Styela clava: one gene and its partners. The main gene of each other region encodes a partner of the protein of the gene in region 2 in a complex. Links are inferred from orthologs where the notes say so. Each region holds a gene or a part of one and is shown on either strand. Other genes may lie near its edges. The genes, in order: mitochondrial import inner membrane translocase subunit Tim10-B-like; mitochondrial import inner membrane translocase subunit Tim22-like; mitochondrial import inner membrane translocase subunit Tim9-like; acylglycerol kinase, mitochondrial-like.

What was found.
Region 1: the proteins of mitochondrial import inner membrane translocase subunit Tim22-like (region 2) and mitochondrial import inner membrane translocase subunit Tim10-B-like are in contact, whole or in part, in a cryo-EM structure (PDB 7CGP), measured with the Homo sapiens proteins. The link is inferred for Styela clava from reciprocal best matches to the Homo sapiens genes TIMM22 and TIMM10. Residues at the interface, in NP_037469.2 of Homo sapiens: Tyr25, Ser26, Leu28, Leu29, Gln30, Tyr31, Leu32, Val33, Arg40, Leu42, Leu47, Gly48, Glu67, Glu144, Ser145, Tyr146, Gly148, Ser150; in NP_036588.1 of Homo sapiens: Pro3, Ala6, Gln7, Leu9, Ala10, Ala11, Leu13, Glu14, Val15, Met17, Met18, Ala19, Tyr22, Ser44, Lys45, Gly46, Glu47, Arg53, His62, Glu63, Gly66, Leu69, Thr70, Ser73, Met74.
Region 3: the proteins of mitochondrial import inner membrane translocase subunit Tim22-like (region 2) and mitochondrial import inner membrane translocase subunit Tim9-like are in contact, whole or in part, in a cryo-EM structure (PDB 7CGP), measured with the Homo sapiens proteins. The link is inferred for Styela clava from reciprocal best matches to the Homo sapiens genes TIMM22 and TIMM9. Residues at the interface, in NP_037469.2 of Homo sapiens: Asp35, Arg37, Gln38, Pro39, Arg40, Leu42, Gly45, Ser46, Leu47, Gly49, Ile50, Ser52, Pro53, Lys60; in NP_001291414.1 of Homo sapiens: Gln13, Glu16, Phe17, Thr20, Leu57, Thr60, Gln61, Met65, Phe67, His71, Gln74, Asn75, Leu78, Lys81.
Region 4: mitochondrial import inner membrane translocase subunit Tim22-like (region 2) and acylglycerol kinase, mitochondrial-like share a complex: the UniProt entries of both Homo sapiens proteins name them as parts of the TIM22 complex. The link is inferred for Styela clava from reciprocal best matches to the Homo sapiens genes TIMM22 and AGK.

What each region holds. Positions count from the first base shown.
Region 1 is NC_135253.1:5,421,633-5,429,864, forward strand, and holds mitochondrial import inner membrane translocase subunit Tim10-B-like, read right to left. Parts: upstream 2,449-8,232; 5' UTR 2,344-2,448; coding exon 2,273-2,343; intron 2,114-2,272; coding exon 1,918-2,113; 3' UTR 1,316-1,917; downstream 1-1,315. Other genes in the region: uncharacterized protein LOC120326221, read left to right, coding at 72-197, 382-561, 1,094-1,147; tRNA (guanine(37)-N(1))-methyltransferase-like, read right to left, coding at 4,836-5,029, 5,127-5,212, 5,286-5,384, 5,487-5,628, 6,076-6,199, 6,291-6,452, 6,889-7,033, 7,654-7,920 and 1 more.
Region 2 is NC_135252.1:2,511,465-2,519,641, reverse strand, and holds mitochondrial import inner membrane translocase subunit Tim22-like, read right to left. Parts: upstream 3,138-8,177; 5' UTR 3,136-3,137; coding exon 2,892-3,135; intron 2,643-2,891; coding exon 2,458-2,642; intron 1,848-2,457; coding exon 1,686-1,847; 3' UTR 1,330-1,685; downstream 1-1,329. Other genes in the region: failed axon connections homolog, read right to left, coding at 3,726-4,727. UniProt on the Homo sapiens protein: Essential core component of the TIM22 complex, a complex that mediates the import and insertion of multi-pass transmembrane proteins into the mitochondrial inner membrane. In the TIM22 complex, it constitutes the voltage-activated and signal-gated channel.
Region 3 is NC_135254.1:14,339,073-14,346,408, reverse strand, and holds mitochondrial import inner membrane translocase subunit Tim9-like, read right to left. Parts: upstream 2,140-7,336; 5' UTR 2,090-2,139; coding exon 1,802-2,089; 3' UTR 1,197-1,801; downstream 1-1,196. Other genes in the region: nondiscriminating glutamyl-tRNA synthetase EARS2, mitochondrial-like, read right to left, coding at 113-290, 400-465, 923-1,055; U3 small nucleolar RNA-associated protein 4 homolog, read left to right, coding at 6,884-7,336. UniProt on the Homo sapiens protein: Mitochondrial intermembrane chaperone that participates in the import and insertion of multi-pass transmembrane proteins into the mitochondrial inner membrane.
Region 4 is NC_135253.1:878,540-887,409, reverse strand, and holds acylglycerol kinase, mitochondrial-like, read left to right. Parts: upstream 1-5,329; 5' UTR 5,330-5,878; coding exon 5,879-7,156; 3' UTR 7,157-8,218; downstream 8,219-8,870. UniProt on the Homo sapiens protein: Lipid kinase that can phosphorylate both monoacylglycerol and diacylglycerol to form lysophosphatidic acid (LPA) and phosphatidic acid (PA), respectively. Does not phosphorylate sphingosine. Phosphorylates ceramide.

The DNA of each region.
Region 1 (8,232 bases), on a different chromosome or scaffold from region 2:
TGATTTTGATCTCACAATTTATTTTATAACCAATTCATCCATTATGAAATACCTTCCCATTGATGTTTTAGTGCTCCAATTGTGCAATACTTACTGAAAAATTAGAAGATAAATCATTGCAACTAAGGCTCAAGGAGAAAACTATAACAGATCTACAAAATATTGGAAAATCGATGCAACTACAACTTGGGCAACAGGTGAATTTCTTCATCATATTTTAAATCTTGTTAAGTGCATGTCGTACAGAAATAAGTTAGTTATATATGTATGTATATGCAGGCGCGTTCGATACGATTTCATTGTGTCTCGTCTATATAGATTCCGGGCTATCAAAAGACGTGACAGCAGTTGAGGTTTATCTGGTCTTGTAACAATTTTTAGCACAGGGCTTTAGTGTTGCGAGAGGAAAGGTCACACGAAAAGCACAGGGCAATGTGTATAAGAGCAGGAGTGAAGCCAGGAATAAGGAAAGCAACTTCAAGTCCAGGGTCAAAAGTAGCATCAGTAAATGCAACATATAACAGATGGAGAGTAAACAGTGCAGAGCTGACAACAAGAAAGGTTAGAATAGGATTTCATATTATCCTGTAAGAGGGGAAATGATATCTTAGTCTGGGTTCAGATACATAGACATGTATGGTGAAGTCACAAGTGGCAGTCATAAAATATGAACCACTCTGCAAATATGAATTCTATAGACTGTATGCAGAACAATCAATATTCCCGTAGTACAGGAACCAGGGATTAGGGTCAGGCCATAATTTTGTTCCGATTTTCCTCAAGCGTTCCGGTTGAATATTACGAATTTGGGGACTGTCTGTGTTAGCCAAGTAAATATACCCCCTGCCCATAGGTTTCATCAGTCCTTTTATACAACTTGATGTAAAGTGGGCAAACAAAATTAGTTGGCTCCATATCGGTACATACACTTCTGGAGCGCCCAACAAACCATGAAAATTGAGTAAACTGTAATAACCAATTTGGAAATTCAGCGGTGTGAAAGTACTTATTGGATAAGAAACCCAATAAGGTGAGCAATAACTTATGTGAAAGGCTCAAACATTTACTTTGTCTATTTTTTAATTTTTTACAGGACATGATATTAACAAAGTGGGAAGAGAGAGAAAAAAGAGAATCCCAGTTTTAAAGCATTGCTAAACTTGCATTATTCATACATTATTATATTGACCGTGATCTGTCATTACCTATTTATGTTCAATTATTTTTCATATGTTATTTGTATATACCTTTTGACATATAACTTATTTACACTGTGTGAAAGTGGAACATAAGTGCCAAATGAATACCTCCATAATAACATTTAGGTTCAATTTTAATAAATATTAAAACAATACAAAAAGTTTGAACAACATATTAGAATGGCTAATTTGCACAAAAATACCACACACACAGAACACTGGCCAACTGGAAATGCACAATCTAATTTCATGACAACCGTTCCTACATCACCGCTTAGACTTGCAATGTTGTGCAATAAGTTATGGGCGACTCTGTGGTTATCCAAATATTTTCTATAACTTACATCGCTGATGCGCTGTATTATCAAAGAAACAAATTTATTGTAAATAAATAATAGGCTGGTTAACAAAATGATATTCAAGATCCTACTTTTAATTACGCTTTATTAAACAGTGTAACTTGATTTCATAGAAGCTTTACCTTTGTTGGCGAAAACCTGCCAAAAAGCCTTGCTTTCGATATCCAGAACTATAGATTCCTAAACTGTCTTTATACGCACAAACCAAAATACATATATGAGAAATGCCGTTATGCAGTTTTATCAAACAACATGTGCAATCTCATATAACTCCTTGTTGAATAATTGCATGTGTCTTGCACCAAGAATATTATCTGTTTGTAAAGTTACACAGCTTATCACATTATAGGCTGTTTTTATCAATTAGGTTGTTGTTGCATTTTCTTCATTGTTTCATCTTCTACTTGTGAAGCTTCTGTTAATTTTTTGCCAATTGTTTCATGAATCTCAAAATATTTGGCGATGCAACGATCCAAGCAAACAGATTCCCCTTTTTGTAGTTCTGCTTCGTAGTAGCTGGTACTGATACATTTCTTCTGACATGCCGATGACATTCTGGTTAAAAAAAGTCATTATATTTTTAGTGAATTTAGTCCAAATGTCATCTATAAAAACACAAATAAATTCAAATATTGCATCGATTGCATAAAAGGCGTGACTAGGATTAGCTGCATACCGTGTTGAAGTATAGGTGTTAAATAATAAATATCTTACCTATTGTACATATCAGTCATCATTTCAACTTCAAGCTCAGCAGCCAATTGTTGTTCAGGAGCTACATTCATTGTTTGTAAATATTGAAGAGCACAAATACACTATTTAAAAAATGAATTAGACTAGAATGCAGAAAAAAAAGTTTGTTCTGTTGTTTGGAACACCTGTGACAATGTAAAATTTGAGCAGAAAACAGTAATAATTTGATTCAGCATTTTAACGGTATATAGGCATAGGAAGTTTTTTTTCAACGTCTCTTGGCCTAATAATATATGCATATCGCATATATTAACATATACTGATATAGTAAAGTGAAAATCAGATTGCATTTACATTGAAAGACAAAGTTCTGGTAATAAATGATAGTATGTGACATACGGTATTCGAATAAAGCTCTTAGCCTCAATACCTATGCTCCTTTTTCAGAGATGGAAATGAAGCCCCAAACCCAGACATGAACGCCTCTAAAATATACTAGGCAACACCAACTGTACCTCGATATACTGCATAAGTTAACAGATAAAATAAAAACTCTATTACAGCTTTCATGCACTAAGCCCATCTGTGATTGAATTCTGGCGTCTGGTATAGTTCAGTACCACATGTACTTCTAGTTGACCTGGCTCAACAATTTTTGCATATGTCAATCCTAACCCCCACCTGACTACGTCACCGAAATATTACGTCATTTCGACGTCACAGTGGCGTAATAAGGCCCACCGAAGTATGCGGATGCTCGTCCAAAACGCACAGACCATCACCCGAAATCGAGCAAGCAATTTCTCTCATTTTCCCGTCACAACGGTCACTATAGGAGAGAGATCGCCGGCTTTAGCAAGTTCGTTATCGGCGGCGCAGATGTCATTTCGGGCGATCGTAATTATACTTTGGCAATCCCTATGACGTGAGGGTGACGTCGTAGTGACGTAATTTTTGGATGACATAGTCAGGTGGGGGTTAGGAATAGCATATGCAAAATTCGTTATGCTACGCCCACCGGAAGTACTTGTGGTACAAAACTATACCGTACTAAACCCGAATTCTGAGGGTTAATAACTCACCAAGGCCAGACGGCACCTGGGCAATACTGCCATATGAATACCTATGGCGTCATGAGTATCTCTTGTATTTGGACGATCACAGTAGACCTATGAAAATTGGTCCTTGAGTAGGATAGTTGCAGCAAATCTAAATATGGAGAAAATCACCGAAAACAGAAGTGTAACTGCGAAATGGACTATAGAAGCAACACACGTGCGAATCTGCGAGACTGAAATGGAATAATAAATTTCGCAAAATTACTATACAATTCCATAGATGCCAGATGGCAACGGGTATATCAATTTTGGGATAAACAATGATTTAAACCAAAAAACAATGATTAAATTCAAAAACAATTTGAACAAATTTTTTAGAGAAACTTGAATATTTATACTATTTTGAATATAAATTGAACTATTTTCAAGTCAGTGCTTCCTACAATTGCCACGATTCAATCTACAATCTGGCTGAATCTACTGAATTTGTACCAAAACTTGTTGCGCAATCGTTGTCGTGTGCGCCAGCGTAAACCAATAAATTATTATAAATAGCACATGGCATCTCTGGGCTGGTGCACCCACGTCTCAGGAAAGCCTGATTTTTGTTTTACAGATTTAAACTTTTTGATGACTAGACTCGAAAATATTCGAAACAATTCCGCGACATATACAAATTGCATTGCTAACCTGTACATTTGAAGTTTCTCGTCTAACGACGTGTTATTTTTGTTAAAATTTGTCGCCTAATTCGGGTCCTCTAAAGCGATAAAAGACAATATTGTAGGCGAAAACAGATAACTAAATTGCAGAGTAACCTAGATGGAGGACATAATTTAGAATTAAGTTAGGAAATTGGTGGATAGCGTACGATCTCAACTACCAACAAACCAAGCACACAAAATTTATACTCGATTCAAAATTGGGCATCTGAACATCCTGGTTCCAAACCGATTTTTGTTCAAAACATTCGCCTCCAGTCACTGGTCAGAAGACAGATTCAAGTAACTGCATTAACTTAACAAGATACGATATTAATTTCAAAACTCATTCTCTGTTAATCTAAATTTGATCATATTCAGAATTTAATTTCTACCATTTGTCACATGTCAGAGTTGAAACTAAATTATTGTCCCTGGCTTTCCCGGAAAAAAATCTCACTGGACTGTGAAAACCATTCGCATCAGAGACATCCACGACTTCACCGCCAACCACTGTTACTCATCAAGCCTAAAGTTCATCTGAAATCGTCATCAAACATGTATGTTATTATCCTTTTCAAACTGCATAGATGTAAGACACGCTAGTTTACAGACAGTGTACACACACAAGGCCTCTGCAATCCATATAGCTGCAGTCCAGTGTGGTTATAAGGCAGTAGAAAACACATGGATATAAAATACTGCATTTTATCAGGATTGCCTTCCCTCAAATTTAAATATGAAAATATGAGCAGCTCAGTGTATTTATCGATATAAAATGTGTGCATGATTGCCTTTTCCAAATTCAACATACAAAAATACGAACTATGATAGTTTTATTCTTTTACATTCCGATTCATCAGTATCACCATTTTTTGATTGTTCATATAAAAGAGAAAAAGGAATTTCAAAAGATAAACAAAGCATGTATTTTCCTGGTGCAACTTTTCTGACTTCCCGAATACTATGTTCAGGAAGATTTTCACTGAGGCTTTGTTCTGCTCTCTCTTTAATATCACCTAAAATAAATACATATTTAAGAATAGTAGTAGTGCAAAAGATTGTGTCAGAAAGTCTTAAATTTGACAAAAAGCCTTAATTATATAGGAATCATACCTTTTAAATCTTGAGCAGATGAAAAAGCATAACAATAAACAGTCACTGGAGGTAATGAACTTGATGTCTTGTTGTCTTCAGCTCGACTAAATGATAAAATATTATTGAATTAAATTAAACATTCCGATTGCTAAACCGTTCCTTATCAATGTTGCATACTTAATATTCTTGACCAATCCTGTGAATGCATCTAAAAATTCTATTGCCAGTGCCGGTAGATTCATTATAACACATATTGTCTCTGTTTTTGATGACAATCTATAAAAGTTAAAATGCAATTGATAAGATAGATGGGTTAATTCATTTTCAGTCACCATCCCTGGGGTATTGAATACTAGTGGTAAGATACCTAATACTTACTGCAAATGTTTTCCCAAGCATTCTTTGATAAACTTTCTGCCATCCATATTGAATGCATTCAATTTCGCTTTATTTAGTTTTGAATTGTGTAAAAGCCATTTGTATGATTCTTCATTTAAGTCATTTGCATATACTTCACAACCTGTTGCCATAATCAAATTCATTTTCATAAACTCATAAAAAAAAAAACTTGATTTCAGTAAAATGGAGGGGAAAACTGCTACAAAACCATTTAAATAGAGAATCTAACAAACTTGAAATGTTATTTGAGGAACATGTTCACTCTCAGCATATAGGGTCGTAGCTTGAAACTTTTTCTTTATTCTGAAATGTATTACAGTGGTGGATGAATTTTAATAATTTTGCATATCCCATTTTTGAAGTACGAAAATTTAATAATGGAAAACAAGATCATTATAATTTATATTCATGCCATTTCCAAAACGACAGCATGATACAACTTACAAAAGTCAACAAAATAGCAAATACATAAAAATATTTTGTAAAAGTGATAACGAAAAATTGTCGAATTTAAACCCTTTGGGTAGTACTATCAGCGAGTTCTTTGATTGGTAGTTTACCTTAATACCTTTTTTGGCAAGTGGTATGGAGAAAGGTCCAACTCCTGCAAATACATCAAAGACAACAGATTCCTTTGGAATCAACTCCACTATTCTCTGATGCTCAGTTTGCAACTTTGAATTCCAGAAAACCTGAATGAAAAAGGGCTCCAGAGTTTAGATACTCGTATGTGAATAGAAAACTACAGTACTAATAAATTCTGCATCATTACTAACAACAAACCTTTGAAAAATCGAATTCGAAAATATTGCCATATTCAATTATTTTGGTAACAAAATTTGCTTCACCGGCAATAACCTCCATTAGGAAATTTCTGTATGTATTGTCAATAGTTGAAGATTTATTCACGACAGTTGTGATTGCTTTGTGTTTGTCAAGAAGTACCTGAAAATAAGGTTTTGATAACAATCACATTTGCGAGTTAGAATGAGAATTATTCCTAATTATTAAACCCTTCTGAAATAATTTATCAAAGTACAGTCACAACTCACAATAATTCACTCAATTGATCTAGGGCAGATGCAACATCTGTAGTTGCACATATATTCATGTTAAACTTGAATATTGTCGGAGGCATAATGTTACAAAGTGATTTAAAAACCATTTTGAAAAATTCCAGAAAGAACCATAATCAACATTTATGAGCTTTGAATGGAGAGAAAAATATGAGTTTAAATATGGTAAAAGCAGTCAATTAATAATCTTCATCAAACCATTTCAGAAAATTAAGCTGGTTAACATTTGCATGAGATTGTCAAAATAGTAACCGTTGCTCGATATATCAAACTAATAACAAACTTCAATCCAAGATATAACTAACCTGACCAATTAATTTCTTGTATGGCATTTGATGTTCTAATAAATTGACATGAATGATATGACCGACTCGTTCAAAACCCGATGTTGAATCTAGTCCTTCAGGTAATACTGCACCAATAATTTCTTGGTGCTTGTATACATCATACCTGTAATATATTGAAAATATATTTACCAACAGGTAAACAAGGCATATGTTTCAATGATATGCATACAGTCAATTTTAAGTTCATTGCACAATAAAAGTCATTCCATATGGCTTTGTTTTGTGAGGTTCTTTCTATTTTGGTACAATTTAAGTCTTTGCATCTGAGACAAGTTAACTATTTTCATACACAGCATGCACTGGCAACTGGGGTTCACTATGCAGCCGTGGTTGACTATATCATTAAGCCATCTTATTAGCTTCTCTCTAAATCAGGATAAAAAAGAAAATCCTACCTTACTTAATACAGTATCTATATTTATTTGAATTCAGAAAATGTCAGGAATCATTAATATTGAAATTGTGTGATATTCGAAATACAAAGAAGGTTCTTGATTTAATAAATGAGATCCGTTTACACAGAGATTTAAGACTTTTGAATATGATTTTAAATAAGATCAAATAACTTAATATTATTTATAGCAATTGATAACAAAATTAAATACCACACGCCAAAATAAATCAATGGTCTAGATGGTCTAGCACAGTATAACGCTTGAGTAAACTTATTGTTTATTAGATAAGAAGTTATAACAAAATATCATTGCTCAAAGATATAATAACCTTATTTCCAACTTGTTAGTGTAAAATCTTGATTCAATTTGTAAATCGTTTAAAAGTTGTTGTTTGAATTCTGGAAGAGATTTGAAATTGAAGTCTTGTTTCATTACAACAAATTTAGCATTTTTTTGAGCTTCACAATTTTCTGCAGACAATAAATTTGCTCCTCTCCTCTTAAGAATGTCTTCTTTAAATTTCTTCTGGAACTTATTGAGTGAAGAAAAAGGTACTAGTATCGTGTTGACATCTACTTCCTTTTTAAATGCGGACCTGTTATGGCGGAAAATTCATTAAAAATGTAAGGAGAGCTTCCAGAATAAATAAATGAATTGCAAAAGGATAAAAATATACTTGGGGTTATTTAGTCCACAATCTCCATCATTCAAAGTAATAGCAAATGAACATGCCAGTTTAAGTAGTTCTGTTTTTTTACGAAACATTTGAAAACGCATTACAAGACATTCAATATCTCATACCTGTCTAATTCAACCATTCCTCTCACACCAGATGGTGGTGTGAATATATTCTGGTCACTTTGATTGAATGTTTCACCATTATTCATGATTAAAGAAAAGATTCGGA
Region 2 (8,177 bases):
TTTCAACCGTAACTATATACTACTAGGTTTCAACAAGTAATTTGCAACTGATAGTGACTAATGAAGTTACTAGCTCATCTGACATTGTATGAATGGCTACTTATGGCTTTTTTGTTACACATTTCACATTTTTTTGAACATGTTTGTTTGACTTTTGTATGAATTATGCAATGAATTAAATTTTGAAATACGCGCGTCAACTGATCATAATGGCGCATAATGTTGTATTCCTTCAGAACTGAAATATTTTGTTGGTAAGAAGACAAATCGCTGAAATTTGATTCTTTTCAATAAAAAAATGAAAACGCTGTCATTCATCTAAAAAACGTCTGTTTTCGGTGCCTAGTTTTCGTTTTGTGACATTATTAAGCTTCCCTAATATACGGCTGATATCTAAAATACTGCAGTGTGTAATCCTAATACCCATACGTATACATAAGATACCGATATAATTCAATTGTTACGAAATAAACATCCTTAAACTGTGATAATGATGTAACAATAGACTGTATCTAAAACTCAAAAGGTACCAAATGAAGGGTTAAACTATTTATTTCACTCAAGTTCGGCGGGCCATTTTAAATCGTCACGCGAGCCGTAATTGGCCCGCAGACTGCGGTTTGGAACCCCTCATCTACACTGATGAATATGCCATAGGCGTTATATTTGAATACAATTATACTTGATTTGGAATTACAGTGTGGAATCTCACCTCAAAATTAGGGGGGGGTGTTTGAAATTTTAGGGGGGGTGTAGGGAAATCACTGGATTGGATTTATTCTGCAAGTCATGATGATACAATTTTTATTTAATAAGTTTGTTTGATTTCATCTGTCTGATGAATATGCCATAGGCGTTATATTTGAATACAATTATACTTGATTTGGAATTACAGTGTGGAATCTCACCTCAAAATTAGGGGGGGTGTTTGAAATTTTAGGGGGGGTGTTCACCCCCTATAGGGGGGGTGTAGGGAAATCACTGGATTGGATTTATTCAGCAAGTCATGATGATACAATTTTTATTCAATAAGTTTGTTTGATTTCATCTGCTTTTCAACTCGGCAAACAAGGTGTCGCTGACACGATGACTTACTTCATAGTCTTTCGCGGCCCCGCGTCAATATTGTATGTTTAGTTTATATTTTTATTATTATGTTTGTTTAATTTTGTGTGTACAATATTTCAAGCACGACGAAATAAATATCTGAATCAGCCCCTCGACGTCGTTGTGAATAAGCCTCGAAATTGAACTGTTGAACTTGACTAATGTGTATGTATACTGTACTTTCATCTATCGGTACATATCTCGAAAAAAATTGGATGATACTGAACATATGGCTTTACTATATTGCTACCAGGTCTTCATAAATATAAAGTGGGCATTGAGAATGAAGCATACAGTTATCTTTCATAAGATCCATTCTGCAACTCCCATTCAGTCAGTTTTTGCCAGTGCGTTGAGGTTAAGGATTAATAAGTTAATAAGTAACAGAGACAATTCGTCATAGAAGAAACTATTATTCAGTTAATCAACGGAGGAGAACCAGCCATCCAAACTCAAAATTCTTTCCATTGTGGTTTTCAGAAACCATTCTGCCAGCAGCACATGACCACTCAATCTCAGTTTTCATGCAGCAACATACCTCTTTTTGAGACAGATTTACATATATCATTGTAACAGTGTCATGAATGACGATGCAAAAGGTAATAATCTATAAGGAATGAAAATGCCGCAAATCCAAGTCCACCAAATAATCCTGCTTGAATTCCACCTCGTAAGCCAAGAAGACCACCGGTGATAAACCCAGCAGCAGGTGTATTTTTTGGGTCAGATTTTCCGCGATACTGAAATAAAACATGAATCTTTAAATTCCCACTAAATTCCAAGTGGTTTTCATGTAAGAGCAACATTCGATTGTCATTGAATATACCATAATCCAGTCCATGCATCTGAAACAAACAACTGGTAACCATTCCCATACCAGACTGGTAACCAGTAGATCTTGACTCACCACTCGATTAAGTCCAGTGGTGGGATTCAAATTATTTGTCAGCCAGTTTCATCACAAAAGTCATATTTTTCAGTCGGTTCAGTTAAAAACAGAACATTGACAATAACCAGTAATGCTAACCGGTTTGTGATCTCATAAAATTCTGTGAGACGGTTCTATAGAAACGGTGCGAACCGGCTGAATCCCACTACTGATTAAGTCATCATATCAGCCTTCCTCCATATGGAGATAAATACAAAAATTATATCTCCCAAACTTGCAGAGAATGTTCCTAACATTCAAATTCAAATTCAATATCGGATGTAACCGCATATGCAAGGGCAATTTGACTTGACTAGGAGTTCTCAATATTATTGAGTTGTGACTCAACAACAAGATCATATCGTAATACAAAAATAAAGCAGACCTAACATCTATTTTTCATGACAAATCAATCACTATACCGTTTCCAAAGCACATTCAGTTGCAGAAAACATTGCTCCAACAAAAGCAAATGTTTTTCCAGATGAATGCATCCTAGTCCTCATTTCACGTATCGTTTCTCGCACAGTGGGAATTTTAGATGGATCAGTGACAGGCGATTCCACTCCATACATGAATAAACCAAGCACTGCTCCAAGGCCATAACCTGAAAAAAAGATTTGCATGCATTAATGACAGCAGTATGAGAATGGTACAGCTAGAAAACGACAAAAAAAACTTTTTAACAATCAAATTTCTATGGGGCCATACAGTTCGAAATTTGTTGAAAAGAGATATGAATGACTCAAGTTTAAAGCATAATTTTCAATCAGACATGGATATTATGAACTAGATGACCTGTTGAAACAACTATGGTATGATCCAGGGTATTGCATGACATAATGAATAATTTTACCTCCTCCACAGGTTAAAACACTTTTGAATACGCAGCTCTCCATGGTAGCGGATACAACTTTATCGGTTGTAGTAATTTTAGGTAAAAGGCTGAAGTTTGACTCTCTGTCCAGGAAAGGGAATGGCTCTGTTCTTGGTCTTTTGTAAACATTTGTCATGTGCTCCAAGATTGCAGTATATGAAATATGGGGTCTTTGTAATAATAAAGGCTGGTCTTTTCCTTTGGGATCATCTGTTGGTAGCATGCCGAATACAAAGTTGAGCAATGTCAGGACTATTTAAACATTTATATAACGAGGCCAACCATCTACGTAATACAAAGGATAACATGGTGTTATACAAGATGAAACAATTACTTAAACATGATTGATATGACATTGCAAAAGTATACTTGTACCAGAGGAAAGCAGGAATTGAATTTTCTCATGAGATAATGGAATGGCAATATGAATTACAAAAACATAGAAATTACAAAAACAAAAGAACTATCAAAGAGCAGAAGCACAATTGATATTACAACACAGTAAATAAAATTGTAGGCAAGCAAAATAAGCATAGAAAAATAAGATTTATGAATCAGGTAATATACATCTAATGAGCCATATCAGATATTTTTCGAAAAAAAAATCTTGCTGCAATGATTTCAGTTTGAATAATTATAAATATACTATTAATGAAATATTTTAGCAAACTCAATAGAAACATACTGCAAAAGTAAACTTGAATGAAGGAATTGAAGCAAAACAAAAATATATTCATCACAAAACAACAAGGCAGATGGAATGTTATTAGTACGTAAGAACCTCTAATTTTATGATATTATTCAATTAACAAATTAGGCTTCATCTTTTTTTTCTTCAGTAGGTTTTTCTTCATCCACTTGTTTTCCATCTTGAGCACCTGCTACCTCCTCAACCTTGCTCCCATTTTTTGGAGCCTCCTCCTTCTTGTCCTCATTTTCTTCCACTTTATCACCCGAACCATTCTTTTCCTCTTTTTCTTCCACTTTATCACCAGAACCATTTTTCTCTCCTTCACTCTCGGCCTTTTTTGTTTCAGGAACCTCTTCCACTTTTTTTTTTTCTTGTAGCAATTTTTCCTCCCAGTCTGAAAAGTATCTGTCACGCATCCGATCAGTGTATTCACCAAGGTTCTTAAGATCATCCTTCATCAACTTTTCCTGTTCGCTTTCGGGCATTGTGAAGCGGAACTGAGCCAACAATCCAAACAAACTTGCATCAATTTCAGTAGGATTTTCACCCATGAAAAATTGTTTATCACCAAGGTAATCAGACAACGCTTTCAAATCATTGGCAGAAATTTCATGAATCTCTTTTACAGAGTGGCGTCCCATTCCATGACCATTCAGATTAGACTTAACATTTGGTTTGAGGATCATGGCTCCCGCAATTGGCATAATCTTTTTGTAAAAGCCTGTGACAGGAATTATTTTTGAAAATGATGAATAATTTTCCACCCAACGATAATGCACCATTGTCCAGTACAGGTTTTCCTCAATCAATCTTTTGAAAGCTAAAGATATTGATTTTTCCTGCAGATTCAGAGAAGCATCTAGGTCTTTTTCATACTTTTTATTCAAATATGGAATAATGAAATTGGTATCACCAAGATCTTTTCCATCAATCTTAACAAATGGTATTTTTCCCTTTGGAGATTTTTTTAAAGAAACTTCTTCTTTATAAGGGATTTCGGTCATCCTCAAATAGGTTTCCAGTTTCAAAACAAAGCTTGAAAGTGATGGTGCAACACGACTTGGCCCAGTATGACAGAAAACTACGCCATCGTCAGAAGAAGCAGCAGTAGTTGTGGCCGGCATATTTTATTTTTTAATTGATGTAATACAAAACAATTCACCTCAAAAAAACTCAATCAATAACTGAAATGATGAAGAAAATTACATCACTACTGAGTTATATCTAATACAGTAGTTTTTGACTTTTGTACTAGTGGTACTGTACTTAATATTTTTGGGTCTTGTGTATTTCTTACCTCAAGTACTTCTAGTAGGCGAAGCATAACAATTTTTGCACATGTCAACCCTAACCCCCGTTTGACTGAGCCATCCAAAAATTATGTCACTATGATGAATCACAGAATCATGTCATAGAGCTCGCCAAAGTATACCTTCCAACCTACGACCGCCCGAAATGGCATCTGCGCCGACGATAAAGAACTCACTAATGGCAGCAATCTGTTTCATATCGAGATGGATCATTGCAATGAGAAAAATAGCTTGATTTCAGGTGATCGTCTGCGTGTCTTGGATGACAGTTTGTAGGCTATACGATTTATTTAGGGGCCGTTCCGGTAATTAAAGGAACCCATTTGTATACTTTGAAGGGCCTTATTATGCAGTTATGTCACCGTGATGCATTAGTGACGTAATTTTTGGAAGACAATTTGGATGAGGTGAGGTTAGGATTGACATATGCAAAAATTGTTATGCTACACCCACTAAAAGTAGCCTACTGGGCCGTGTTCACAACATGATGTAAGTACATGAAGTAGCCTATGACATTGAACAATACTTACAGACTTATGTATATACAGATGTAAGTCAAGATTGTGTCCTTCTTCTTAGCTCCACCAATGGCATACCGGTAGCACTAGATATATATGTATATACAGATTGCACCTGTACCAGTATATAGACTACCGGTAGGCATAGAATAAATGTGGCACTATCAGACTACCGTTCACTTCAGGCCAATCACTTTTGGCATGGAATGGACAGAGACAAATTCATGCGAATAGGCTATTTCAAATTCCCGCCTGTCAGCAGTACCGTACTGCCGTAACCATGCAGTTTTGTCAACAGGATATCATTTCGACAAGACGATCCAAAACTGCGCTTGGCGACCCAACCCCTCTCGGTACCATGTTAACATAATACCGGCACCACGAACATGCGGATTGCGTTGACTATGGATGTTTCCTCAACCCTTGATCCCTGAAAGTTTCTCCATATTATATACTTAATTGCAACATTTTCAACGCTAATTTTGAGATTGTTTTGGAAAGTTGGCGCTTACAAACTGTCTCACATATTAAAAACAATCTTTTTATTCAAAACAATAAACCACGTGCTGCTTACAGCTGTACAGGTACGGCACCGACAGCTTATTTTAGGCTAGTTTGCGGCAGCCCTTTTTGATTATTGCACCTAACTAAAGACATAATGACAACTAAGTTATTTGATTTACAATTATATTTGAAAACATAACTAAAAACTGACAAATAACACACGAAACTAACAGAAAGAGTGAATGTAGTTTTGTGACCCCTAAATTAAATGATTGGTGTAACATCCATTGAGCTTTCATTAAGCCATTTTGTGCCTTCACCTAGCTTTATAAAGCTTCTTCAGTTCTTGTGCCAATATCATCCCCTCGGGTTAAAGATTTAGAGAAGGAACGTTTTTATGCGAATTGGGCCGACATATCTTAGTATAACTCATAATACTGTGAAAGCTTCGGCAACACATTTCTCCAATTGGCTGAATGAAATTTTTGTAGTTACTACAAAAGAAAGTTACTACCCTATTTACACCTCCAACTTATACCTAATGAAAATTTCAAGTGCATAATTTATCGAATGCAAGTTCGGCATTGTGGCATATATTTTCAAAGAGTATATAGATTATCATCTCAATATTCAAGGATTTTCACTGTAACTGTGACTTGTGAATGGGCCAGATTCGAACGCTATCAAAATCGAAATGGATAATTGCACAACAACAAAGGCATGCTGTATAGTCCAGTGGTCGGTGGTTCCCAACCTTTCTATCCTGGCGGACCGGTAAAATTGTATATAATGTACCAGCAAAAAATGAAATTAGTGGAACATATAATAATAACATATATTTGCGTAATGTCGAGCACTCAATATACAAAAAAATAACCCAAGTAAAATGGCACCAGAACGACCGGCTGGGGAGGGTAATGCTGAGGTGGCAATACCTTCAGTATTTGCATTTGTTATTATTAATATTATCTGCCTGCTATACTCGTTCTGTTGGATATAATATACAAAGATTATTTCCTTATTCCCAATAAATGGTCCACATTCCTTGAAGACCAAAATATAGGATATTCAATAGCCTTGTTGAACGAATTTTCCGAGTTGCAAACAGAAATTCTTCAGCTGTGTGAAACACAAGCAGGAAGTGTCACAGACTGGGAAGTTGGCTTGAAATCGTGGTGGCTTCGACTACAGCGCCACAGTATATTCAAACTGTCCGTACTTGAGGTTTGTAGGAGTGAGCACTACCGTGGAACATGAGCCCAAATGCAGTTTCACACAGGCAGGACTCCAGACTGTCATATAAGCAGGGATGGCCACAACTGAATACTTGACTCTTTCGAATACAGTCTAAAAAAATATTTTCGAATTTGGAATTACGAATACATTCTAAAATCCCCCACATTTTATTTACTTTTCTTAATTCCAGGGACATGGGAATTAAATTTTAATAAATATTGTATTATCATTGTAAAGCGGCCGTGAATAGAAATGACATGTGTGATATTGAAATTAGTGATATTCTTGCTTTTAAGAAAAGAGACTTAATAAACATCGCAGTATTTATATATACTTATGAATTGTGGTGTATCTTGACTAGAAAAAAAAAGAGCAACTAGGCGGCTAGTGAAGTGTTTTAAATCATATAGTAAAATCAAAGTTATTATTAATAACACACACACTTTTGAGACGACTGATACTTGTTATAAATTCTGACTGTTTATTGACTGCGCGAGTGTCATTTAGTCTAGTGGTTCCTAACCCCCGGTCCGCAGACCGGTGCCGGATCGCGGGAATTTTCATTTTGTTGTTTTTCTACCGTCTCAATCGCCTTACCGAAGCCGAAAATACGAAGTTACGTTAGTTTATTACGCAATTTCTCTTCCGCCGCCGTATTGCTCTTTGATACGTGCGGTATGGACCGGCGACGTCGTGATCACCGGCGCCGAGTGATCACACTTTTCGGTTCCGATTCATCAAGTCCATGCTTCTGAAAACAAACAATATAACTAATCCCATACCCGACTTGGAATGGTAACCGGACGAGTGGCCGTGGTTCGCCATATGGATAAGCCGTCTTATCGGCTTTCCTCTCCCCCGGGATAAATATGTAAATCCTATCCCATCGCGAAAGCGCTCCGTCAAATCTCGCAAGATTCAGAAACCTGTAAATCAGCATGCGTGCTTTTTCCGTTCTGCATACTTTTCTTGATTAATATTACCATCCAAATGGAAGTTTATGGAT
Region 3 (7,336 bases), on a different chromosome or scaffold from region 2:
AGACTGGTAAACCGGTCTGGAAATTGTGCATTGTTATGAATCAAAATATTATAATTTGTTTGAAGCACAGTAGTCGCCAATTAAAGTAAATGTTCAGCTTAGCATAACATACTTTTCATATATATCCAATCTTTCACTTTGTACATAAGGTCCGAAGTCTCCCCCAATTCCTGGTCCTTCATCTGGTGTTATTCCAGCCCATTTTAATTGATTTAATAAATTTTCTACGACACCAGGCACAATTCTTGATTGATCAGTATCTTCAATCCTGATGATAAACTGACCACCACCTAGAAAAATGTTAAAGATATGATTTACAATTAGTTCAGTGATAAATAGTATTACTATTTAGTATTTACAACATGGTGAATCATTAAGATATTGCTAAGAAATATTCACCTTTTTGGGATTTCACAAATAAGTAATTGAGTAAAGCAGTTCTCAGTCCACCGATATGCAGAAAACCTGAATAATAATTATTTATATAATACAATATTGATATACAATTTATATATACAATATTGAGTGGGATAGGATTTTCATATTAATCTCGAGAAGAGGAAAGCCGATGGCTTAATGGCAACTATTTTTTGTTTCAGATGCATTGAATTGACCAGCGGTCATGTGAACCACCCTACGGAGTCAAGCAATCCTCTCTCACATAATTATACCACATAGGGATCGAAATTGCAAACCTGCACAGGGCTCAAAGTTGCAACGGCAATCATAATCCTAATGCATGCTACGAGGCGCCCACCGCCAGGCTAAGTCTCGACTTGGTTGGTTATTTATTAATAGATAATATGCCACCATAATCATATATTTTTTCGATAGCTTTTGCCTCTCCAGTCACCCACAACATCACTAAAACATCATTCATCTACTGTAATGTTCATATTAAATCAATTAAAAATAAAGAAACCTGTTGGTGAGGGTGCAAATCTAACACGGACATTCCAGAGGTGAGATGAAATAGAAAATCTACGACATCGTTGATAAGTTTTGCATGTAAATCTATGATTACAGATATTTAGAAGCCAAGATTTGTAAAACATGACAAATAAAACATTCTGAAAAAATTGAAAACCAATCAGAACGATGAAGGCATTGTGAATCAGCTGGATAATTTCTAACACAGTATAATGGGTTGAAAGAAAGTCAAAATCCTAAAATAAGTAATTAATGTTTTGTAGGTAACTATGTTTAAATCCTATTTATATAACATGTTACTCCAAAATATGACACACACAAAATCAACGTCAACAAGAATGCAACATTTTGTATATAAATTTTCTCCCTTATGCATTCTAATCTAACACAAATGTCATAATACATTTCATGGATGTGGAACTTCATATGGATTGTAGCAATTAGAACAATAGATACTTAATTTGCAATTCCCACATTTGTTAGCACGACTGCTACTCAGCTTAGCTGATCAATTGAGAAGAGCACAGTGAAGTCACAAAAGTTTCTCTCCAGATAGCATTGACACTTTGAAAGATTTGTTTGAAATACAATTTAACTAATCAACCATGATATCAATAGAGGAACACAATAGTGTCAACAATAGTGTTGATGATGAATGTATAATTCAAGAAATATACTCTCAAAATATACCAATATAAAACAGAAAACTTTAGTCCCAAAATGTTTTAAATTATTTCATAAAAATTATATTTTTATTCAATCCAATCACATACAATTTCCTATTCCGATCGCTAGTCATTTTCCTATATTTAAAACCTCATATTAATGTATTAACACATTTGAAATTTAAACAGCAATATATATGCTATAATCATGTGCCAGGCTTCTTTAGAAACCCTGCTTGTGCAGCGAGTGCTTCATTTTGCTCTATAAAATGTTCCTCAAATCTTTGTCCAATACGTGAAGTTGTTTTCAAATACTTCTGCAAACAGTTTGAAATACATGTGCTTTCTTTTGACAAAACATTCCTACTGCCAAAATCATTGACACAGTCCGCAAAACATTGTTCAGTTATTTTGTTGTATGTGTTTAAAAATTCCTTAAGTTGTTTCATTTGATCTGGTCCAACCAGTTGAGACATGCCCTGAACCCCAGCCATTGTTTCGTTTACTCTAATGCACTGCACTACAGTTGCACCAATACATAAATCTGAGTAAGAAAATAAAAATAGGGGTTAGGCGGATAAGCCGTATAGCTGTATAGTGGGGCAATGGCTGTAACAAACAAAACAAATATGCTCGGAAAACTAGAGAACAAAGTTTATAATACGCAATGCACATGCTCGTTCACCAAAAGTAACACAAATTATATATTTATAAATAGTAAAAAGAAACTCAATGAGCAGCAGTAAAAGCCTCCTGAGGCGTTTCATGTAAAAAACGTGAGTTACAAATACAAAAATTGACAATGAAGTTGATGGTGTGTCGACACAAACAGCCAAATCAACGTAACGTATGGTAATTTGGGCAATAGGCCTAATTACATAAAATACCCCTGGCCTGGTGCATGTATATGACGGGTAACTTATATTACATAAATTTACCATGTATATCTGTACCTTGTCTGCAGCATGCGGTTTTTGTAGATGCAAATTATTATTTTTTTTTTGCCAAATAAGTTCTAATGCCAAACGGAATTTTCGTATCATTATTTTGGAATCGAATAATTTTATTTTAAATACGTGGATTAACTCATTTTTGGACATATATGGTTTATATTACCGTAAATTACTGACATCATGGTAATGGTATGAATTTCATATTTATTTGGATTTTTACTCTACTATTGATATATATATTGCGGGAAATGGGATTTAAATAGAGAAAACAAAAAACTATGTACCGTATTTAAAATAAAGTGGATGCAAATTAAAATAGCGTCACATACAAAACAAGGACCATACCAACATCCTACTACTACGCACACTGCAACGCTAAGCTACATCATGCTTCTCCACAAGATGAAATTCGCCGCGCTCTGATCTATAGTGCCCCCACATGGCTGCACGCCAAGGTCGATATCAGACATCAGCAAGACGCTAGCTAGCTAATATCTCCAAGTGCTGCGCATCTAACATCTAAAAACAAAAGCGGGTTATCGTGATAATCAGTGGTTCTATCTAGTAGTATATATTTACGGTTCTATACACTAGTGTGCCGTGAAAGATCATCAGACTTGCCGCAGAGATTTTCGAATTAACAAAAAAAAATTGAGTTATTTGTTTCAGTGTGTAACAAGACTTTCGAATAACTCAGAATAGTTATCTTAGGATCGGATTTCCATATTTGTTAACTTTGTATGTTTTACATCCTATATGAAGTTTTGTATCCTCGAACTCTGTAATCCGTATTCGTTTGTTTTGATAGCAATGAACCAGCACTGAAGAAATACCAACAAGGAGTCACGAAACGGACATGAGGTAGCATGAAGAAGAATATATGGAATTGATATTCAACTGTCAGCGGATGCTACAAATGCTATTACTATACATTTTACTTAAATAAGAATTAAGATTAAATAAGAATTTGTAATGTAACAAGATATGACAATTCCCATGCGCAACGTTTTTAAATATTCACGTAATGGCATATTGGGGAACGAGAGTCTTGTTACGCCACTGGTTATGGCGATAATTAAATTAAACAATAGTATATACGGATATGATCATCATATATATATATGAATACTGTCATTTCACAAAAATGTAAGTATGTCTTTGCCTATGTTGCTCGGACTAGATTTTCAAGATATTATGACACACTATATTGTCCTCAGTTAATGTTGCCGTATCCACTATTTTAGTCATTGTCATAGTTATCACACCGTTACAATCAATTAATTACAATAAATTAAAAGGAAGATGGGGTAATATTCTTGCTCAATGGCGCGGTCCTTTTGTTCATCAAATAAATAAAACCACAAAAAAGAAAAAACTTCTTGTTCTTCAAAAGAATTTCATAAAAAGTGTGATACTATTCTTCTCACATGACAAATATGTTCATATGGATAGAGATTTTATTTCCCAAATAATGTCAACACTTGAAACATTTGAAGCAACAGAAACAAAAAAATAATAATTCAGTAATAATTGGTTATCATTATTTGTGAGGGCCAGTATACAAGACCGGTAAGGTCACCAAGGCTGACACCGATGAAATATATAAATTGAAAAAATTGGATTCTTCTTATAACATAGTACCTCCTTGTTTGTGATAGAGCCTTGTTCGAAGAGAAGTTATTGAACACGCGATTAGAAGATGATAATATTCTTGTCCGACAGCTGTATTCAATTTTATAAGTCCTAAGCTAAATGAAAGATTTTTTTTCTTCACAGGAGGCACAATAGTTGTCTGCATACCAGCGACTGCTCGTTCAGAGCCTGGTACAGATTACTCAAATAAAAATCAAGTCATATATATATACCACGAAAACAGTGTATTAAAATGGGGGAATGAATTGTCAGAATTGTTCCCAATGCGCTGTTCCTTAAATCAAAAAAGTACTCGGCAAAATATATCAGCAGTGTAATTCTACGTCTCATCAAGTTTGGGCGATGTCACAATCAAGCGACAAAACTTGTTTAGAGCTTTGCTACGGGCAAAGGCTACGGGTAAGTCGTGAAGCTCCTTATCAGAAGATGGAATGAAACCGATCTTATACAATAGCCGTAAGCCTATTCAATCTAATAATTCTATATGGAACGATTTTTTATAAATTATCGGCTTTCCTCTTCCCCGGGATAAATGTGTAAATCCTATCCATTACCAATAATAGTAATATGGATGAATGAATTGTTGTTATGGATGAACTTAATAGTGTGTCAGCCTAATGCGACCTCGTTGATAATGCGCCATTCCATGCGTCCTTGCTGTTTGTAAACGCAACCCGCTGTTCCTAATGAGCTGTGCTACACAGCGGACCCGCGATGAAGCAAGTCAGCGCGGCGAGTAAGGAAAAGATTTTCATATTTAGCGTATTCCTAATTTTGCCAGTCTTATTTCCATCGATGAGCTTGCATGTCACTGTGTAACTCAACGACTGTTTGGCAAATCAGCATGGTAAGAGATTGTATTGTCGTATGTCAGTATGTTTCCAGTGAAAATTGAGAGGGATTTTCAACAGTAAAATGAAACCGTAAGTAGTATTGCTGGAAATGAACTATGCGTATTGCCGTGTGTGAAATAGAATCTAAATTTGTCAGTCACGCAAGTTATATATGAATCGTGAATATTTTGATTAGTTTTTGATTTTATTGAAAGAAATATTCCAGTATTCAGCTGGAAGGGAACTAAATAATGCCAGACAGAAAAATTATGAAGAATTATACACATAATATTAATCTATTAATACGTTTTTTTTTAAATTACATATTATACTACTTAATTAATAATTGATTGACTGTATGCTGTTGTGATAATTTCAACACTATCAAATACAGTTCTCTGATTCCAAGAATAGCCCCCACGCCCCCACATTAAAAGACATCAATAATAACAGTGAGTGCAAACCCCTCCCTCCTTTACGAGACAGTGTACTGGTGTAGGCCAGGGGTCGGCAACCTACGGAGTAGTATAATCCGCGACTGGTCACTGAATTATAGTAACAAAACAGCTGTTTTGACGATTATTCTTTGAGTAACAGAATTCATTGTGAGACACGTGTAGACTAAATTATATTATAATCTAACGAGTATAAAATTCACAATTACTCGTTTAACTATAATTTAATTGTAATTAGACAAATGGCAACAAAACGCAGAAATGTTGATGCTAAGCGCAAAGGGTTCCATGGCGCTGAAAATATTCAAATGGAACTTTTTGAGATGCAATGCAAAGAGGAAATAAAATCTATATTCTATTCGAGAGATGTATCACTGCTTGATTTTTACTATAAAAAGTATCATTCGTTCGGTTTTCAACTTTATAGAAATATGTCCGGTGCGCCAATGACTTGCAGCTGCAACCCTTAATTTTGGCCCGCGGGCGACAAAAGGTTGCCGACCCCTGGAGTCGGCCTTCATATGGACTCAAAACGGGAGGCTGGGAGGCGCAGTTCTTACCACTTCAGCACTTCATGACAGCTCCTGCCACGAACGTACCGCGGCGTCTCTTGCCATGGTTTTATCGCACGATTACCGGTATATTTACAAAGTCATGTACAATATTTTAGTTTATCATGCAGAATTATATTTACTTAAACCTAACCCCAAATACATCAAAACTGTATTCATAAGAAAAGCGTTCCAACTTACCCAATATTTATCTCCATAAGGGGCAGCCCTGCTTTTACAGCCGACATGCCGTGGTAACGGCAGCAAAATTGGTGGTATTCGATTTGCTGCCGTAACAACGGCAGCCCGCTATTGGTTTGTGGCAGCTAAAAAGTCAGGGCCGTAGGTTTGGTCATAGCGGCCATGGTTTGGAAATCCCGCCATGGTTTTGCGGCAGCTCTAGACGCCTCAAAATACTTGAAACTGCACTTGCAAAACTGCAATCTGGCACTGCGCAATAAACTAAAAAAAAGCGCAGTCTAAAAACGTCACCATAGGATTCCATAATCTAATTTACAGGAGGAAAAAAATTTTACTGTAGCGTTTTGGTCACTTGACGGCAGACTCATATTGGTATTGATTTAAATTATTACTGAGACAAGCTTAGTGCGATCTGACGCATCTGCCGTTGTGCCAGACGCTCTCGTTTCAGACACAAATAGGTAACCAAATTTTGCGACATCTTAGAATCAGAGAATTGTGCCCCACTGAAATATAGATGGATTGGATATACATGAACGCATAAATTATATGCTTAGTTTATTATTACCGTAGGTATTTTTGTTTATAATTTATAATTCTTATCCCATTCCTTATGTTTCAGTTAGAATTAAGTCTATATAAATGGGTGAATTTGCTGTTCATCGATGCCAGTTGTTCGAGTACACTCCATGCACTATACAATGCATCGCTAGTTATGAATCGTCTGAAGGTACTGCTTCACAAAAATTGTTAGCAGTTGGGAGAGAAAATGGAGCTATCGACCTCATCAGATGTACGAAGACTGGTTTTTATAAGTATATGGTTATTCCAGCATCTTCTACTCGTCATTTAGAAGATATTGCATGGTATAATGGTAGACTATTTTCTGCAGAACTACAAGGAATAATCAGTGAATATGATTTAGTAAAAGGAACTATCAAGCGAACAGAAGATAGTTATGGTGGAGCTGTTTGGTGCCTTGCTGTAGGAAATAAAAAAGGAGTCATTGCAGCTGGCTGTGAAGATGGAAGTTTAAAAATCTACAATTGTGAGAAAAACAGTTTGTCATTTGAAAAATCATTTGATAAGCAAGAG
Region 4 (8,870 bases), on a different chromosome or scaffold from region 2:
GGAAGTCGTAATACGATGGACAAAATAGTATCAAAATTACCCAAATCCCCAAAATATTTCAAATGTTCAAAGTGACTAAACATTCTTCTAACGTTTGAGAAAGACGTAACAAACTTTCGTTATCTCCAGGTTTCGACCATGGTCCTTTAGTCAACTTTTCAGAATATTTTCTAGACCGTATGTCTTTCGGAGCAAATCGCATGCTTCTTTATAACCTTCATCGGGTGCCAACATTGTACAGTGCATAATCAGTTCTCTCGCATCACTTTCGCAGTATTGTACCAAATATGACAACTTTTTACTTGTATCATGTACTCTTCTATCAATATTTAAGTTGAAGTTAGTGATAAACCGGACATATTCAGTCTCTATTCCACTGAAATGCAATAATTCAGGTCTAGGTCTATCAGTTCCGTCTTGCAACATAGATGCCATATTGCCCAATAAACTTTCCACATTTGGTGACGATTGATCATGCGTGTTTCGTTGTGGGATTTGTGCTTCTGTGTACGGAGGTTGATTTAATGGTTCATACCGATCCGGTATATTCACATTCACCGCTTCTCTCATATTAACAGTAGAAGCAGGTCTTCCAACATTTAATACAGGATTTCCCACTCTGACTCTAGATTGTGATAACAAATCTGATGCGGGCAATTTAGGTCTCACATCTGGAGGCTTCGATACCGGCACTCCTATTTCATTCACTGGTACTTCTTGGTTTTGATTAGGTGAATGTGAACGAGACATATTTTCATATAATGACATACCTTCACCTCCCTGCGAAGCATTTTCCCATACATGGGCTGCTATACAGGCTGATTCATAAGCATGCTGCAATTCCAAACGCTTTGTTCCACTTTGAGCATCCCCTTCGATTTGTCTAGCTCTTATTTCAGCCTTCATTCGGGCTTCCTGCTCTTGCTTTCTAGCATTTTCCATAGCTTCGCGTTCCAGCCTTCTAGCACTTTCTATAGCTTCACGTTCCAGCCTTTTAGCATTTTCTGTAGCTTCACGTTCCAGCCTTTCAGCTTCAATTTGGGCATCTAATTTCATTTTCTTTGCTGCCATTTTCGCATCAATTTCTCGCTTTTTTGCGGCATCTTTTTCTACTTGCTGTCAAATACTAGCATGAGCAAGTTCTCTAATGGCAATGGCTTCTGTACGTTTAGTACTCGAACTTGAACTGGCACACGAACGACGGGAACTTTTTCCAGAAATTATAGAACGTGCTTTAGGGCTATGTGTCGATGATTTAGGGCCATCAACGTCAGACTTTTGAACCAATCGCGTAAGTGCACATTGAATTCTTGAAACTCGCGCAGTTCACACTGGAAAAATTCACTGACATTTCTTCGATCTTCTTCAGAACGTAAAGTACTCACATGAATTTCATGAGCATTTGAATACTCTGTGAACCGTTTGTCAATGTCAGCACTTTTCAATTTCAACAAATCTAGATTTTGGTAGTCTGACATAAGTCTCTCAGCATCTTGATATAATTCCTTCATACGAGCACGTAACTCTTCTAAATTTGATTTCGAAACAGATTCTGCATCTATAATGTACAATTACAGTGCTCTTCAAACATGCAACAAAAGTTTAAATATTCAACAGTACGATGATTTCTTCAATTTTGACGATTTACTGAACTCCTGTCGGCATTCGACGATACTTTATTAATGCAATACCAAACGTTATATGCAAATTTTGATAACTTTATTTGCGGAAATTCGATAACTTTAATGTAACAGCCGTTCTTTGTGACCTGGACGACACCGACTGCACACTAGATATTGGTGACCGTACATTTGAACCCATGTACATTTGAACCCATGCGTATATTCACAGGTTCAATCTATATGCGGGTGCTAAAACCCATGGGTTAGGGTTAGTATGGGTTTAACTATCCGTGAAACAAAAAAAATTCTATAGGTGCAATAGCATACAGGTGCAATTGTCATGGGTTCAAATGTACGTGGGTTCAAATGTAATGGAACCTAGATATTTATTAACAGTTCAATAACGCGGTCTTTCAAGCTCCAAGTTCGTATCCTCACTCCAGAAAATCACACAACTCGAAGTATACAGTTGACACGGTTATCTTAATACAAACGTAAAAACAAATCAATACAAAATACTTGTAATAAATAAATAATCGTACACAATTCGGCCTTTAGAAAGCCTACTCAAATTTATGAACACATTTAACAAACATTTTGTTGTCTGCTATTCCAGGCTTAAATTATCATAAGTAGATTAAGAAATCATTCGTCCATGAAATCCGAACAAATCAATTAAATAAACTATAACTGTAAAAACAATCACAAAGGCAATCTAATGCTCATAAAATATCCCTAAACTAGGCCTATGTGGGGCAGCCATAATCTACATTATTTAATCGTCCTACTGTCAAAACAGAAAGTCAAGGTCGCTGAACAATTTTAACTTATTTACAAATTACAACGAAACGAGCGCCATTCTCCTATAAAAGTAAAGCGCTATCTAAAACAAATTACCGAAACTATCCCTGTCTAAGCGAGACATGTCTGGGCAAGCAATTGCCACGAAGACTCTCACAATTGTTTCGTAACAAAGTGTGTAGAAGCACACTGTCAATCAAGGGAAATTACGGCGTCAACAATAACAAATAAATTACTACACAAGTTAAACGGACGCAATGTTTAAGTCAAAACAAAAATAAAGTGAATGCGATTCTCGATGTAACAGCCTGTAGATGCGTGTTTTGTGTACTATTAAGTATATATATTTTGGACATAGTTTAATATGAAATATATTCTAGATTCAAAAATATTTTTCAGAGTGATTCAGTTTCGAAGAAGTAAACAATAAATATTTTGCCTTTGGCCGGAATCAGAAATTTTACTTGGTACTATATAAATTTTGGTTTTGTTTCAGTAGGCGAAACTTAGTGATTGAAAAAAATCACGCCATTGTTATGGACCTTTCCCCGACCTTTGACCCTCGAAAAATTCTTCCTATACTTTACCATTGCAAAATTTTCAGGGCTATTTTAAGAGTGCTTTTGCAAGTTGGCGCCTGTAAAATGGGGTATGTGTTTCAAACCATCATTATGATTCATCGCATACAACAAACTGTTTTTTAAAAGTACCGGTAAAGAATTTCAGGCTAGTCTATCACAGCTATTTCTACAATGAAAATTCTACAACAAACTCCTAGGAAGACAGCGTGATCATTGAATTATCTGATTTTTATTTAAGTTTCCGAAACACAACTGAAAACTAACGAATAGAGTTCAAAAACGCGAAAACGAGGTAATGTTTACAACCAGCCTTGAAAATCTGTCTGAGTGAGAAAAGGGGGCATTGTTACGTCACTCTTCGCATCTTGCTGATTGGCCAATGTCACGAAATAAACAAGGAAGTCGATACTCGGGGAAAGGTCCATTGTTTCTTTTTGAACAGCACTCAAAGCCTGTATTTGATGTTTATGGCCTTTTAACAAAGAACTGTCATCATCAAAAATGGAAGTTTCAAAACTCATTTTCAATAGGTATAATCCGAAAGTAAAAAAATGAATTTATTTCAGATTTAATAATAGAAATCCAAAATATTCAACAAGTAAGTCTACAACGAAGAATTTTTAGATACAAATGGCCCCAAAGTGATTTTATGTTACCAATGCAGAAAAATTTTTTAGGGGATTTTTTGAAAAAAGATCTAGAATACTTTGGTTGAACATTGATTTTACCCAACCAGAGGTCAGATCTCAGAGGCAGCGTTGCATGGAGGCAGTTAATTCTACTTGTGAACCACCAAGTTTTACTTTCCAAAAATACCATGATAGAGCTCTAGCGTCACATCATATATTCTAGCAGTTCTCAACCTTTTATGGTTCGTGACCCCTTTCCGGCGCTTTTTTGCACTCGTGGCCATTCGCCATTCCAAAAAACCAAACGTGTTGGATTGTATTAAGTTTTTATTACCTTTTATGGAATGCAAAAGCAAACCACGGACAAGAAAGTATAAGAGCTTTCTAGTATACAATGAGTGGGAATCGCTCGGGACTGTCTGACGACTTACAGATAAGTTGCGAGTCGCAACTTGCGACAAATGAACTAGCAGTGAAGAAGCTTTCTTTCTTAGTAATGGGTAAAAGTAGTGATATGCCACTTCAAAGCTGCATTCAAAAGCGGGCTTATCCTCCGGCAGAAACCCTAACTTGGCCAATGTTGCTTTATTGTCAATCTAACTCGCTTGGCAGCCAAGAATCCGATATCAACGCTTTTACCCGGTGATGATTTTTGTCACGGTGGTTTTGGAGTTTAGATGGACTTAATGATTCATTGCTCTTTACATACGAGCAATGCAAGTATTGAGGACATTCTCGGTCATCTCGACTTACTTTTGTAAAGCCAAAGTAACTGTCGTTCCATTTTCGTATTTTGGGATTTCCGTCTATAATACGATAGCGAAGGTTATCTCGCAGTCTAGTGAAATTACAGGTTAGACGGCTTACCAGCGAACTATATTGGTAGATTTCATATTCCATGGACCTTTCCCCGAGCATCGACTTCCTTGTTTACTTCGTGACATTGGCCAATCAGCAAGATGCAAAATGTGACGTAACAATGCCCCCTTTTCGCATCCGCTCAGACACTTTTCTCACTCAGACAGATTTTCAAGCGTGGTTGTAAACATTACCTCGTTTTCGCGTTTTTGAACTCTATTCGTTAGTTTTCAGTTGTGTTTCGGAAACTTAATAAAAAATCATATAATTCAATGATCACTCTGTCTTCCTAGGAGTTTTAATTTAATTGCAGTAATAAAAATTAGTGTAGAAATAGCTGTGATAGACTAGCCTGAAATTATCTACCGGTACTTTTAAAAAACAGATTGTTGTGTGCGATGAATCATAATGATGGTTTGAAACACATACCCCATTTTACAGGCGCCAACTCGCAAAAGCATTCCTAAAATAGCACTGAAAATTTTGCAATGGTAAAGTATAGGAAGAATTTTCCAGGGATCAAAGGTCGGGGAAAGGTCCATTATGCTCAAACAATTCACGCACAAGAAAGTGAATACATATCAACCTATTCAGGCAATTAAACTGCGGTGAACGCCGCAGAGAATTTTATTATAAAAGGAAAATATGCAAACGAAATCGTTTTAGGGTCAATTATTAGCATTGTGTCGTGACCCCCTTAGGGGGGCACCAGCCTCCGGTTGAGAACCACTGATCTATTATAAACTAAAGTACGGTAGGTAAATAAATATGAATAGGCGTAGCACAGTGAGACTAAATATGGCAACTGAGGTTTCAAAGTAGTTCAAGGATCAACAGCTAAGGGACCTCCTGCGGCAGTCGGCGTCAGGCCATGGTTTACTACTGATTGGTCAGGCATGGAGATGCCGTGTAACGTGTGCTGGAAATTGGGTTTTAGTGTAGTACCGTACTGGTACCTAGAGTACTTCTAGTGGGGGTGGCATGACCATTTTTGCATAGGCTATGGGTTTCTTTAAATTACGGTACGTTACTACAACGTCACAATCACGTCATGTTGCAGGTCGGTTTTGGCTCCAGCCGACCAAGTCCATGCTTCGATGCATGTCTGCATGTGGAACCAGTAACTGGCCAACTAATCCCATACCGGTACCTAACCCACATCGCGACATGGACCGGTACGGTACTGTAACCGGACGTCACACGTCAGGACGTGGGCCATGGTTCGCCATATTTTTGTTCCGGCTTTTTCCCCCTCAACGCGGTAACGTCACACCAGACCTGCAGACCGGGCACTGGTACGGTACCTACTTGCGGTAATTCGAAATTTATCTTACTTGTCAAAATTTATCGCAGTTTGGTCATCAGTTCTGCAAATAACTTACAGATTATGGTTGTAATTAGGTTTGCAAAAGCTGTGAAAAACAATCCAAAAAAGTCTATTGCTGGTGCAATCGTCTTAGCATGGTTCGGAAAATGGGCAGAAAAAAGATACATAGCGCATCTTTTCAGAAGGGCTGAATGTCAAACAGCTGTAAAGCTTGGACAAAAAAGTTTACATGAACTTCAAGACGCAAAGCGTGTCACAGTTCTTTTGAACCCTGCTGCGAATGGTGGAAAAGCAAATGCTTTGTATGAGAAGTATGCAGCCCCAATACTACATCTTGCTGGTTATGATGTGCATCTGGTGAAATTAAACTATGAGGGAGAAGCTAAAAAACTTATGTCTGTTGTCAACAATGACATTGATATGATTATTTGTGCTGGCGGCGATGGAACTCTAAGTGAAATTGTCACAGGTTTAATGCGACGACCAGATTCAAATTGGAAGAAGATTCCTATTGGAATTATTCCTCTCGGCAAGAAAAATACAATGTGTAAGAGATTGATTCAAAATGCGGATCATGATAAACAACCTCATTTTATTTGTAGCGCAGCATCTGCCATAACCAGAAGTATACAAACGCCTGTGGATGTTATGAAAATTGATGGTTCGACTGGGAAAACTGTGTATGCTGTTTCAAGTATCAGTTGGGGCACCTATAGTGATCTTCAGGATAGAATAAAAAAGTTTTGGTTTCTCGGCCCTCTGAAATCATACATACCATTTGTTTTGTCTTTATTGAAGTCTGACCCTACAAAGCCAAGAACATTTTCTATATCATACACAGACCCTGAGGTTGTTCCTATTTCCCTAGAAGAAAATTGTGTGGAAAACAGTTCTGGCCTTTCGGTGTCTTCCCTTCTCTCCAAAATCTTTTACAGGTTCTGGCCTTGGAAATCAAAATCAGAGCCACTCATTGAACAAACTGCTGAGTTAATTGAAGAAAATTGGAATGATTTACCCAAAACAAGCATTGAGTTTTTTGCTCAAGCGAATAAGCATTTGAATTCTGAGGGAAGAGAGAAAGCCTCGATACAAGTACAGCTCGAGTCTAATAATGTGTCGTACACTGATTTTGTTACACATGGCCCATTTATATTCCAAAAGGGTGATCACCCATTTGTTAACACTGACTCTGATTTTGAAGTGGATAAATTAAAGTTATCATCACAATTATCTGATAATTACGAGCAACACATTAGTATTGATAATGATAGATATGAAGCAATGGATTTATCTGTCCAATTAGTTCCCAATTGCATTAACATGATTTGTTCAAAATAAAAAGGTTTCTGCAACGAATTAACTGTCTATCTAATCCATTACCCAACATGGACTGGTAACCGCACAAGAGGCCATGGTTCGCCACATAATTAAGCCATCCTTTCCCCTGATTTTCCACTCCCTTGGATTGATTTATAATGTCATTAATAGTTTAAAATTCCTGGTATTGTAGATTTACAATGAGGATGTTCCCTTTTTTCAAAATACAATACAATGTGCAACCCGATTCTAATAAGTTAATGTCGAACATAGACTAAGGTGGTATTTCAGTCCGCCCTTCATACTGCCTTATGAGGACTTTTTAATTAAATTAGCTTCAAAACAGACTGCCTTAACTCTTTCTGCAAATTTTTGTACTGCTCTTTCCTATTGTTTCGCGTAAATGAAATTCTTTCCAAGTCCATATGCTCCAAGTTAAAAACTCATGCTTTGGCATACTCTTTGATTTGGTATTGCCTGTTCCAGAACAATTTAACATAAAATGAATAGTACGGTTTTGAATCGAACATATAGTCTGCTTGAAAAGCGGGATAAAACTTTCAGTTTAAATTGTTCAGAATAAAATTATCCAATATTCCAAATACAGTCTCAATTACTGTTCACAAATACATTTTAAATTTGGCCATGTTTGATGAATATATATTTTTGTGAGAATTCCACTCATAAACCACCAAGTTTTACTTTTCAAACATACCATAATATAAATATCGAAAAATCAAATATTCACCATTTTCAAATTATAAATTCGTTCGAACATCCCAGTTCTCAACTGTTCTTCGTATAGGTAAATCGTTTGATTTTCAACAAAAAGTGCAGAGTTAAACAAATTTCCACTGACATTCTAAGAGCTATATTTAAGTAAAGGAGGTGGAAATATCAGTAGATAGTTGTTAATATTATACTTTAAATAATTCAACATTTTTTGTTTAATCGTTTTTTATTCTTCTCGAATGTTCAATTTTGTTACTACAATGAAACGCATAAGATCATATACCAGTATGGGGTATAAGAGATGTTTTGCTGTTAGTTTTTCATGTTCAGATTAAACGATCAAAACACTGATTTCTGTTTTTCGATCAGTATACGCTTCACTACAGGTAGATTTTATTTCGGTACACCGATGAACGCTCAGGTAGTTATAAGATTTCCAGTGAGTGAGTATGTCAATCGTTACAAGTTCCTGAAAAGTGACATCGACAGCATTCTTATTTGTTGCTGGTTCAGAAGGGTCATTTCAAAGCGCGATATCATAAATAAAATTCAATCTTGGCCCATCGGCCGTCTCCACTTGCACGTGATTAATACCTTAGTCGTGGATATCGTTCTTCCAGTCGAGATCGTTCCTCATCAAAGTAGTACTCATCAACTGATGCACAACATCCAACCTCAAATTTTGATAATACTGTATGTAGCAGTGTTTGAACTTTTGCAGTATTTGGCATGATAACATCCTTAAATGTAACATAAACTTTCCCGAAATATCATTTAATGATTCCGTAATGAAATATTTTGGCTTCTTCGAAATATACTGGTTGTTCTCCTATTTACTGGAGAGTTTTCCGAAAAGCCTATTTCAAGTATAATAATCATCATGATTGCTTTGGAATTAATCAAAATTAGAAGTAGGCTATATCTAGTTCAGAAGGGTCACTTCAAAGCGCTATATCATGAATAAAATTCAACCTTGGCCCATCGGCTCCGTCTCCACTTTGCA